3 linked regions of the Tribolium castaneum genome follow. The protein of the gene in region 2 interacts with the protein of the main gene of each other region in a pairwise test. Links are inferred from orthologs where the notes say so. Each region holds a gene or a part of one and is shown on either strand. Other genes may lie near its edges. The genes, in order: nuclear RNA export factor 1, SF2 and RnpS1.

Evidence for each region.
Region 1: the proteins of SF2 (region 2) and nuclear RNA export factor 1 interact in binary tests that used the Homo sapiens proteins (3 or more experiments, as listed by UniProt). The link is inferred for Tribolium castaneum from reciprocal best matches to the Homo sapiens genes SRSF1 and NXF1.
Region 3: the proteins of SF2 (region 2) and RnpS1 interact in a two-hybrid assay, tested with the Homo sapiens proteins (2 studies listed by BioGRID and IntAct, with this or other methods). The link is inferred for Tribolium castaneum from reciprocal best matches to the Homo sapiens genes SRSF1 and RNPS1.

Annotation. Positions count from the first base shown.
Region 1 is NC_087399.1:3,671,160-3,674,915, reverse strand, and holds the start of nuclear RNA export factor 1, read right to left. Parts: upstream 2,724-3,756; 5' UTR 2,587-2,723; coding exon 2,532-2,586; intron 2,479-2,531; coding exon 2,216-2,478; intron 2,166-2,215; coding exon 2,079-2,165; intron 2,031-2,078; coding exon 1,596-2,030; intron 1,548-1,595; coding exon 1,438-1,547; intron 1-1,437. Other genes in the region: Rint1 (RAD50-interacting protein 1), read right to left, coding at 2,930-3,143, 3,192-3,718.
Region 2 is NC_087401.1:8,584,802-8,588,235, reverse strand, and holds the end of SF2 (serine/arginine-rich splicing factor 1A), read left to right. Parts: intron 1-1,529; coding exon 1,530-1,702; intron 1,703-1,751; coding exon 1,752-1,910; 3' UTR 1,911-2,891; downstream 2,892-3,434. Other genes in the region: Pex12 (peroxisome assembly protein 12), read right to left, coding at 2,898-3,098, 3,146-3,434. UniProt on the Homo sapiens protein: Plays a role in preventing exon skipping, ensuring the accuracy of splicing and regulating alternative splicing.
Region 3 is NC_087399.1:5,873,568-5,877,020, reverse strand, and holds RnpS1 (RNA-binding protein with serine-rich domain 1), read right to left. Parts: upstream 2,082-3,453; 5' UTR 1,925-2,081; coding exon 1,923-1,924; intron 1,693-1,922; coding exon 1,579-1,692; intron 1,529-1,578; coding exon 709-1,528; 3' UTR 631-708; downstream 1-630. Other genes in the region: ankyrin-3, read right to left, coding at 1-213, 264-391, 438-488; fl(2)d (pre-mRNA-splicing regulator female-lethal(2)D), read right to left, coding at 2,527-3,180. UniProt on the Homo sapiens protein: Part of pre- and post-splicing multiprotein mRNP complexes. Auxiliary component of the splicing-dependent multiprotein exon junction complex (EJC) deposited at splice junction on mRNAs.

The sequences.
Region 1 (3,756 bases), on a different chromosome or scaffold from region 2:
CATAGTAATTATACTAGAAATAAATTATCTGGGGTTTATCTGACGATTATAAAATCCACCCTTGATGAAACGTTGAAACTCATTCAAGTATTTAAGCAAAAATAATTTATTATGTAAATATGTTGTAAATATTTTATTATGTAAATAAAAAAAGAAGAAATACTGCTTTATTTTGAATTTTTTTCTAGGAACGGAATTATAACTATGTTACAATTGTGAATTAGTGGGATAAACTCATTCAAGAAGTATTTGGGCGAAAAAAAAATTATTATGTAAATGAAAAAGAATAAATACAGCTTTATGCTGATTTTTTTTCTAGGAACGGAAATTGATTTAGTCACAAATTCTGAGTTAGTGATTTTTGTACCGTATTTTCAGCCACTTCTCATTTCCTAACACATTATTTATTTGAAAAAAAATAGGATACAATAGCTCCAGTATTTTGTGCCCTCTTCAGTTTAATTCAAAAACTTACGAAAATCTAATTTTGTACAAAGTGTTAAACAATCAAAATTTATTGAAGTTTGTTATTTTGGGAATTAAACCTCCGAGGAATTTTGCAACCGATCAGACAGTTGTTACACAATTTCAAAGTAAGACAAGCTTCGTAAATTTAAAACTAAAACAGCATTACACGATCAACAATTTATATTACTCCTGCATTAAACAACAAAACTAATAAATTTAGAATAAATCGCCACTGAAGAGCATATAATTTTTCAATTTTTTAACGGTATTATTTAGTATTTCTTTTCATTATTATGTCTTGTATCAATTCCATAAGATTACTACATAAAACAAAAAAATATAATAATTATTGTACTATGAGGAGTCATTGATTGTTTAAGGTGCAGAAAAACAAGACAATCTGCTTGATTTACAAGCATTTTTGCCAAATTACATACACATTTAAGTGTTCTGGTCCACTCCTTGTAGTTCTTCTGTCTTCTTAAACTAACTGCATTGTTTATGGACAGCAAAATCTTGCAATGCTTGTCCAGCTATCGCTTTACGAAGCTTCGTAACTGCTGTAAGGACGCACCTTTGAGAAACCTCCTCTCACTTTGATAATACAAAACAAAAATTATGTAATCCCATGGAAATGTTTGTATGTGATTTTTTTTTATTTTTATACACTTCAGTGACTTAATTATAGTCAAACAATAATATTAAAAGGTTGCCAAATGCAGAATTCAGCCACAATGCAACGAAGCCACATGTAATGCTACTTAAGTTTTAAACAAATTATCGCGAAAATTTGGGACTTTGAAATTTGCGTAACAACAAATTTCGTTAATAATTTTCAAGTACTTTTATTCCATTGTTGGCAGAAAACCTCTTTTTTATTCAAGTGACAATCTCCGATAACCAGTCACCCTCATATGCATTCACGTTCATAACATGATGACTACAAAAAATAAATTAGTTCAACATTACCCAATGTACGCCTCTTGGTCCTTGTATTTGTTGCATAATGGATTTCCATTTAAAACAATATCGACGATAGGTAGTCCAATAAAAGGGTCCAACATTGACAGATCCTTAAACTGAATCCCCAAATTTACAAAATCCCCGATTTTGGGCAACAACATTACCTTATTATTTCCTAGATGCAAAATTTTTAAATGGGGCAGTTTCTCATTGGTCTTCTTTAAATACGACAAGTTTGCTATTTTGTTATCGAATAAATTAATCGCTTCAATTTCTGGGATATTCTCCGCGATTATTTCCAAAACTGTTAGAAAAATGATCGGTTTGAACAGTACACAGAAATTGTCTTGTAGGTCAGGGTCGGCGTGGAATTTCGTTAAATCGAGCGCTTTATTAGCGGCATTGTACCGCTTAGCCATCGTTAATTTAATTTTCTCCTTCATCTCACTATTAACGTCAACATTTGGCATCCCATGACTGACCTTAATCAGCAATTTAAACCCGTCGGGCATTTGAATCTGGCGATCTAAATCGTACAGCTTTTCCGCGGCTTTAAACTCATCCATGTAAAAAGTGGCAGTTGTGCCGTTTACACTCCACTGGAGACAAAAAATCAGTCAAAAACCCTCACACAAACAAACCATTACCGTAATTGGCCACAAGGGCAAAGGTTGGATCCGCTCGAGCAGCGTCTTCAAGACGAACGCCTTCTCGTATTTATTCCCAAACGGCAACTAGCAAAACACGTGTAAAACCCCCAAAAAGCCTCACTTAATACACTTACTGTCACGCGGTACCAACCGAAGGGGCTCTCCAAAAGCCGCCGTTTCTTGTGATTGGGCACGGGCGAGTCCCCGCGACCGCCCCGTCTGCCTTTAAACTGCTTCCGGTTGAAGTTTCGCCCGCCCCCGGACGAGGCCCCCATGTCAATGTCTTCATCTTCCAGGTACGCCCTACTCGCCGCTGCCCAGTTTCTATTGTCCTTTTTATACTTGTTTGACTTGAAACTCACTTTGCGGGTCTCGCCACCGCCGCGAAAATCATGCTCTGGCAATTTACTGCGTTTTAAACGAATCGCGTGGAGTGTGCTGGGGACTTACCACTGTATTGGCTTCTCCACGACGGTTTGTTGTATTTTCCGCCCTTTGAGGCCATAGTAGCGTCTCAATTACTTACTAGCACTTAACTATAACTATTATTGTTTTTTTAATAATTTTTTTGAGCCTGATTTAACACCACTTCACTTTCGACAAGTAAACGCCATTGATACGCGCTGCCAACAAGGCGAGGCCAAATTCCCTGAGAAAATCACCGACTTTTGAATAGTAGAGTACAGGAAATTTGTAAGGTTCTGACTTGTTTTTTAAGACGCCAAATATTCTGGCCCAGAAGTAACATTTTATACTCTACTCTAGATTCACTTACAGGGTGATTCAATGAAATGCAATGGTGGGGAAAACATTTATTATAAAATTTCTCAACAAAACGTATAAATGCTTCAATCAACGTCCATCCTATTAACAGTAATGTCGGTGCGCTGGTTTAGAATCTTAACGGCCATTTTTGGGGTGAAGCTGACCACCCCAACCTCCTTGAGGGCTCTCCCGCGGGAGTCCTCAATACCTGTGGCCCCCTCAAGAGCCAAGAGAGTCTCTCGTAGTAGCAAAGCGGACCCTTTAGTTATATTTAAAAGATTGCAAGCTTCAATCAGTCTGCAACAGTTCTTATTTTCCACTTTACCGACTGAGTAAATAACTTACTGGACGAAATACGTTTCGGGCCTTTCGGTATATTGCGAAAATAACGGCAGTAAATTCCTTGTTACGTCATACTTTAACTGCAAAGCGCCTCCAGTGTTAAATCTATTATCAAGGACAAGATCCTCAAAGAGGTAATTATCTAATTGTTGCGCAACCGAGCGCCAAACTATCGTAAAAAGTTTCGAAGCTAGAGTTTTTTGCAGTTGGTGTAGTCGTTTAGCCACGATTTCGAAAATAGGGCAGGCTGTGGGTGTTAAAGACAGGCCTTTGATGTCTTTACCGACATTCATAGAGGACCACCTTTCCCTCCTGTAGGCTTTACCTTGTGACCTGACTTCCAACATGACATAATCTGATAAATTAAATAACAAGTCGCGTCTCATGTGCCTATAGAGTGATAAAGTTTCGGCAAAAACAGTTTCACCCTCAATATCCGTGGGGTCAAAGTCGTCCGAATCACTTGACGGGCTTGTGGGTGCTTTGTAGTCATTCAACTGGCTTTTGTAGTAGTATAAATTCAAATAGTGCTGAAACACTTGCATAAGTATAGATAGTGCCATTTGAT
Region 2 (3,434 bases):
TATTTGTTTAATTCAAACTGAACCGAAATTTATTTAAAAAAACTGTTTCTGTGCATCATTTTTGAATCCGGAAATTTAATAGTTCTTCATCATTATTGTTAAAAGCAATTTTTTTCCACATTTGTGAAAGTAAGTAGTATATGGGCTATATGGCGCTTCATGAGTCTGTTTTTTCTAACATTGTTGGTCTGCGTATTTTATGATTTTTTTAATTGTCATATATTTTTCGTAATTAGCAGCCTCTCTACGGGTGTCTTTTGTTGTATTAAATCTTCGAGCAATTTGGGCCCATGTTCCATTTTTTTCACCGAACGTAATCAAGTATCTTTTTTATAATTTTGAACAAAATTGACCATATTTTTTTTGCGTTTAAAATTGCTACTTCGGTTTCTTTAATTTATCTGTTAACGATTTCAATAAAATTATAAAGTTATGTATATTAATAACGTTAATATTAAAAATGTTAAGCGATAAGCCAATGCTTAAGCGGCCAACATCGACCGGTTAGTTAAACCAATACTAAGCTTTAGCTTAGTCGATATTTCGTATCTGACCACACGGTGCCCCTAGTTTGGGACACCTCTCATTAAAAATTCCTACATTTGATCCTTAAATTCGATTAGGCGTATGAAGGTTATCAATTGTACCAAATTTTGTATTTTTATCTGAAACGGTTTCTGAAATATTGAGGAAAACCTACATGTTTATAGGAAATTTATGATTAAAAATAAATGTTCTATTACCTATTATACAAATTTGTAACAATAAAAACAGAACAGCCTGCATATCGGGCAATAACTCCGGAAGTATTAGACGTAATCTTATTAAGTTTATTCAAGTCAACCTCTTCATATTCTACTATAAAAATGGCCAGCTGAATTCAAACTTGGTCGCACATCTCTCAATGATGAGTTTTGTGAAGGATGACCAAAACAGTAACCACGGATAAAAACCTCAAAAAAATGCAAATTTCGATATTGGATAATCAGCGAATGAAAGTGTATGAGGTAGCTAAGGTGATAGGGATATCTGAGAAAAGGGTGTAGTTTATTTTGCACCAAGAATTAGATACGAAAAAATAGTGTGTGAAAGGGTGTCGCAAAGGCGCTCTGGCAATGGAAAAATTGACGAATTAAAAACATGAATTATTAGAACATTCTTTATATTCGCCTGATTTGACTTCCCCAGACTTCCACAATTAAAAAAAAAATGTGATTAGGAGAAATTATCACTCGAATGAGGAGGTAATAGCGACTATAAATAAGTATTTTGCAGAACTACCAGAAAGTCACTTCAGGGATGGGATTAAAAAACTAGAAACACATTGCACTAAGTGCGTTGAACTAAATAGAGATTATACTACAAAATAAATGCATATATTTGAATTAAAAAAAAACGAAGTCTTTTAAGATGAAAAAAATCGTAACTTAAAAACTATTGGGAATGTGGTGATTTTATCGACACCAATCGATTCCCCGGATCTTTTTACATAGGCTTACATCAAAATATTTACAATTGAATTTTTGCAGGGTTGCCACCGTCGGGCTCGTGGCAGGACTTGAAGGACCACATGCGGGAGGCTGGAGACGTGTGCTTCGCGGACGCGTTCAAGGACGGTTCAGGCGTTGTGGAGTTTCTCCGATACGAAGACATGAAATATGCTATAAAGAAATTGGACGATTCGAGGTTTAGGTCACATGAGGTAAGAGTTGTTTGGTTGTTGAGGGATTTGTGTTTTAATTTGGCGTCAGGGGGAGGTTTCGTACATAAGGGTGAAGGAAGATCGTGGGGGGAGTGATAGACGGTCAGGGGGAAGGTCACGCAGTCGTTCATATTCGCCCCGTCGGAGGGGTTCCCCAACATACAGTCCGGTCAAAAGGAGTTACTCCAGAAGCCGTTCTCGCTCCTAATTTAATCTACTCTACGGACTGGCCTTTTTGTATAATGTACGTATCAAAAAAACCGGGGATTTTTTTAATTTGATTGATTTAAAAAAAATGCAAGAGAAAAAAAGCGGTTGGTAACCCTGGAATTTGTATTTGTAAATGTGGGTATTTTAATTCTTCTGACATTCCTGGAAGAATCGTTTTTTTCTCTCCTCCATTCTTGTAATTTTTTAGACTTAAATTTTATAAAAATTTTCAATTAGGTTAGAGTACGGATAAGGCACTAATATGTATTGTTTCTTTTTTCTGTTACCGTACAATTTGCTGAGTCAATCAGCGTTGGACTGGTTTTTGGAAAAAATAATAAAGTCGATAGTAAAATAATAGACAATAAAATGTTATCTTTGACACACCCGGATGCAAGAGGAGTGGATGAATGTTGTTAGGAGGGAGTCTCAAAGATCGTGGAGGAGGATATTTAAACTTTTAACACACTAAGCATTGCATTTTTCGGAGTGTTGAGAGGACACCACACAATTAAATGGCTCGGTAAATAAGTTATTCAATTTTTCTAACAATGAAACACAATCATTTCAAAAAATTAACTGACACGTTTCTCATTGAAAAAACAGTGTTTAAACGAGATGTTTTGCAATGCGATAGGTCTCACAAACACGGGATTTTGATCTCCACTTCACCGGAAGGAAAGGACAAACTCCTAGGATTAGGATTTTTTAAATAAATTGTAGTAATTTTCGGGGGATTTTAATACTTTTCCTAGGATTTTGGCGATGAAGTGGATTTAAAACTGTTTGAGGATTAGGATAGGATTACTAGGATTAGGATGAGTGTACCGGAAGGACCTCGTGGATTTGTTCCCAGGTATTTGAGACTTCTTTTTCGTTTTTTATTAATATTTTTTTATCATTTTGCTTGACAAAAAGTGTGGCTTTTTGTTGTTTTCACAATTGCATGTTTATTTCAATAAAAAATTCTCAACTACAACGTCTTTTATTCATTATCATATATCCTAACGATATCCAGCGGTTTGGCGGGAAGATTCGTAACCGGACACTTCTGGTTGTCCCTCAAATACCGCAAAATGCAAGGAAAGCAAAACACGTATCCGGAAACAGGAAGAACAGTCGGTATTTTCCAAAATTGTAAACAAATCGGACATTTATTGTGATAATTTCGGGCTTTCCCATCGAGCTAAACAATCAAATTAGCACTACTACCAACACTATCACTAGACTCACCATTGGTGGTTTAACAGTTGGCAGCGCCGTCACACTATAATTCTGGTGAGCGCTCCAGGCTTGCAAAAACTGCAAGAAAAACGCCCCAAACTCGAAGGTACTTGTAACCGCGTTTTTCAAAATATTCAATTGCCACAAATCCGCCAAATGCCCTTTGAATAAAAGCGACCAGAAACTTGGCTCAGGTGGAAGTGGCTCCGAATACGCCAACTTGACATCAATCAATTGAAGAATCGGCAATTGAGCTTCGGTTTGTTGCGACATGTATTTAATATAATTGTAAACTGTG
Region 3 (3,453 bases), on a different chromosome or scaffold from region 2:
AAGTAGTGACGTTGGAGGGCCAAGTGCAGTACTGTGTTATTATCGCTAAAAACTACCTCAATGTTGGCCCCCTTGCGGATCAGTTCCAGGGCAAAGTACTCGATTATGAAAATGTCGCTGTGGTAGAGCAGGGACAGGGATAGGGCTGTGTGTCCGGAGTGGTTTTGCGCCTCCAAGTCGAATTTATCAAGCAAGTAGTCAAAAATTGCGTTCCTGAAACCAGGACTTGGTAGGGATTTACTGAACGTTAGGGGGGATCATACTTTTCGTAAATTATGGATAAGTGCAGAGGGTTGTTGCCGTTTTCGTCCTGAAGGGTGGTTTGGTCAAAAGGGTGCGGTAAAAGCTGCTTGAGGGTGGCAAGGTCATTGTTAGATATTGCTGATTCAACCTGGAGCAAAGGCTAAATTTGAGGTTATGTCAAAATAAATTATTACTTCAGATAAGAGATTTCGGCGGTTTTCATCACAATTATGTGAGACAGACATCACTTAAACGATTTACGAGTCATCTTCATCAATTTTCCATCAATTTCATTTGTAACAATTATTTGAAGAAAGCTAGGTTATGTGATAGGCAATACGTGGTAATACCAATATGACAAAATAATAATTTTATCATTTATCAATCTTTGATTATCAATACCTTAATTCCGGTTTTATTCCTTTTCACGCATTACAATACCTTAAAAAATTAAAATCGAAAAAATCATCTGGAACTGCTCGAACTGGAGCGGCTGTGCTTCCTGCGCCTGGGCGGGGGGCTCCTGGAATGGGGGCGCCTCCTCGGCGGGCTCCTCCTCATCGGTCGCATGGGGCTCCGCCTCCGGAATCTGGGCGGGGTGCGTCTGTGGGGCGGAGGCCTCCTCATATGCATCGGCATGGGGCTGCGCCTCATGGGGGGCGGTCTCGGCTTGGGTACAAGCACCGGAGCCGCCGTGATCTCCTGTCCATCAATTTGCCCCCCATCCATGTGTTTCATCGCGTTTTCGGCATCGTCCGCATTGGTGAACTCCACGTAGCAGAAGCCCCGCCCCAAGTGTGGGTGGATGTGGTCTTTGGGGAAATCCACATGTTTGATTGGTCCATACGTCCCGAAAATCTCCATAATGTGCTCCCTGTTGATGGTGCGTGTTAAACGCCCAATGTGGATTTTCGTGGGGCGTGGCGTGGGGGACCTGCGACGCCTTTTGCGCCGGTCTGAGCGCGAGCGCGAACGAGACTTGCCACGGGTGTGGTTTTTGTCGTCTTTCGCTGGGGATTTGCGATTGTTGACGTCTTTGTCTTTGACCTCGTCTTTATCGTCCTTTTTGACATCTTTTTCCTTCTCCTTTTCCTTGTCTTTGTCTTTGCGCTCTTTGCTGCGTCGGGTGGGTTTGCTGGTGGAGCGCGAACGGCGTTTGGGGCGACTGCGGTCTTTATCGCTGCTTGAGCTTGAGGACTCCGAGGAGGAACTGCTCGAGCGGGAACTGCTGCCCGAACTGGAACTGCTCGAAGAGCGCGAGCTGGACGAGCTACTGTCGGAAGAACTAAATCAAGTGTTTTAGGTGATTACAAACTCTTCAAACTCGGGTGTTACCTTCTGCTGCTATCGCTGCTGCTTGAACCAGACTCACTCTTCCGTTTACGGTCCCTACCACGTTCTTTCTTCTTATCCTTGTCGTCCTTTTCCGTATCAGAACCTATTTTTGCCCTAAGAACAATAAAAACCAACTCAAAAAATTTGTAAAAAGTAATGGTGTCCGGGAGTGAACAAACAAGTCAGTTGTTGTAATACAAATTATCTTGATCTTGAAGAACCTTGAAGGAAGCAAATCGAGCAAACACAAGTGATGCATGGGAGTTAAAATGTGCTAAAACTACAAGGAAATCGTGGAAAGCCCTCCCGGACTACAAACATAACCTCAAAACGTAAATACTCACATTTCTGACTATTCTTGATTCCTGTAAAGTCGGGACAAGTTTAGAACTAAAACCTTTCACTGTATTAACGCGGAAGTATGAAAACTACATGAAAAACTGTGTAATTGTGGAAAATTAGCAAAACGACGCTACTACGACCACTTGATGTTGGTAGCGCTGTTCTGGTGACTTTAAGTTTGTAACTGCTACACCAACGGTGGGAGATTGAATTTTGCACCCCCGCAGCTACAAGTAAAACACCGTGGTCAATAATAAGTGATATAATTTTTGTTTTATTTTATAAATACAACTTTCAACATAAAAACGTTAAAAAATGATACAATCTGACAAATTTAAAACAGAGTCGGTCGAATGAATAAAATGCGAACAATGGATAAAAAAGCGCACCTTGATAACACCTTGAATGGGGGAAAGTAATAAAATATTGCATTGTTGCCAAAACTAATAGAAAAAATTCTGCAACTGCACCGCAGTGATCAACACAATTTAGTAATGATTGAAGTCACAATTCGAAACAACCACATTAGGCTAGTATATTTCTATGTACAATTGAATATACTGTTCGTCAGTTTATATGCGTAATAGTTGGGTTAATCTCAGCTCACTATTCTGGGTCGGAGGCCATCGCGACGTCACCGTTCGTGCTGATGACGAGGGCGTCGTCCTCGTTATAGTCGATACTGAGGACGGACGACCTTCGCACGCGTTTCACACAAGTAGTCCTCTCCGCCTCGGAGTCCGAGTCCGTCCGTTCCTGTTCACACACACTGTCACCGTTCGACCGCCCATTGGCCAGCTTGAGCGTACTGTTCTCCTTCTGCAGCACTTGGGCGCTCTCTTTCGTCTTGCGCAGCTCCGTCTGGAGGAACAGGATCGTGCTCTGCATGCCCTCGACGTCCTCGTCCAGGTCGGCCAGGAACGCGTCCAGCTCGTTCTGGCTCTGTCTGACCTCCTCGGAGAAGCTCTTCTGCAGCGCCAGGTCGCTCTCGAGCTTCGCGATGCGGCCCGAGCTCGTGATTTTGCCGAGTTCCTCGTTCTCCTGGTACAGGAGGCGGCATTTCGCCATCAGGCGTTTGCCCGTGTTCGAGTCGGGGGTGAATTTCCACGCCGTTAGCTCGTTCTTGGTGTCCTCAAGCTCGGAACGGGTCGATTGGAGCTCGGTTTTTAGCTGCTGAAGGATGCAGTTCACGGCAGGATCGAGCAGGGTTGAACGGAGGGCCGAGGGGGCTTGGGCACTTTTCAGCTCGTTCAATTGGCACTGCAGCAAAAATACTCTTTAATATTGACACAAAAAATATCGCAAGGGCGCCCATTTTTCGGAGTGGGTTTACACAGCGGTCTTACAATAACAAGGTGTCTACGTCCCCGACATTTCGTTAATAAAATATACAAGTAATGTTAACCATTTTATTCAACATAACGTTTCTGGTGATTTTATTAAAACTAGTACAAACGCACAATTTTATGAAAAATTGAAAAATGATTCATGACAAAATTCGCTTCGTAGATTAGTTCAGGTTTGTGCTTATTA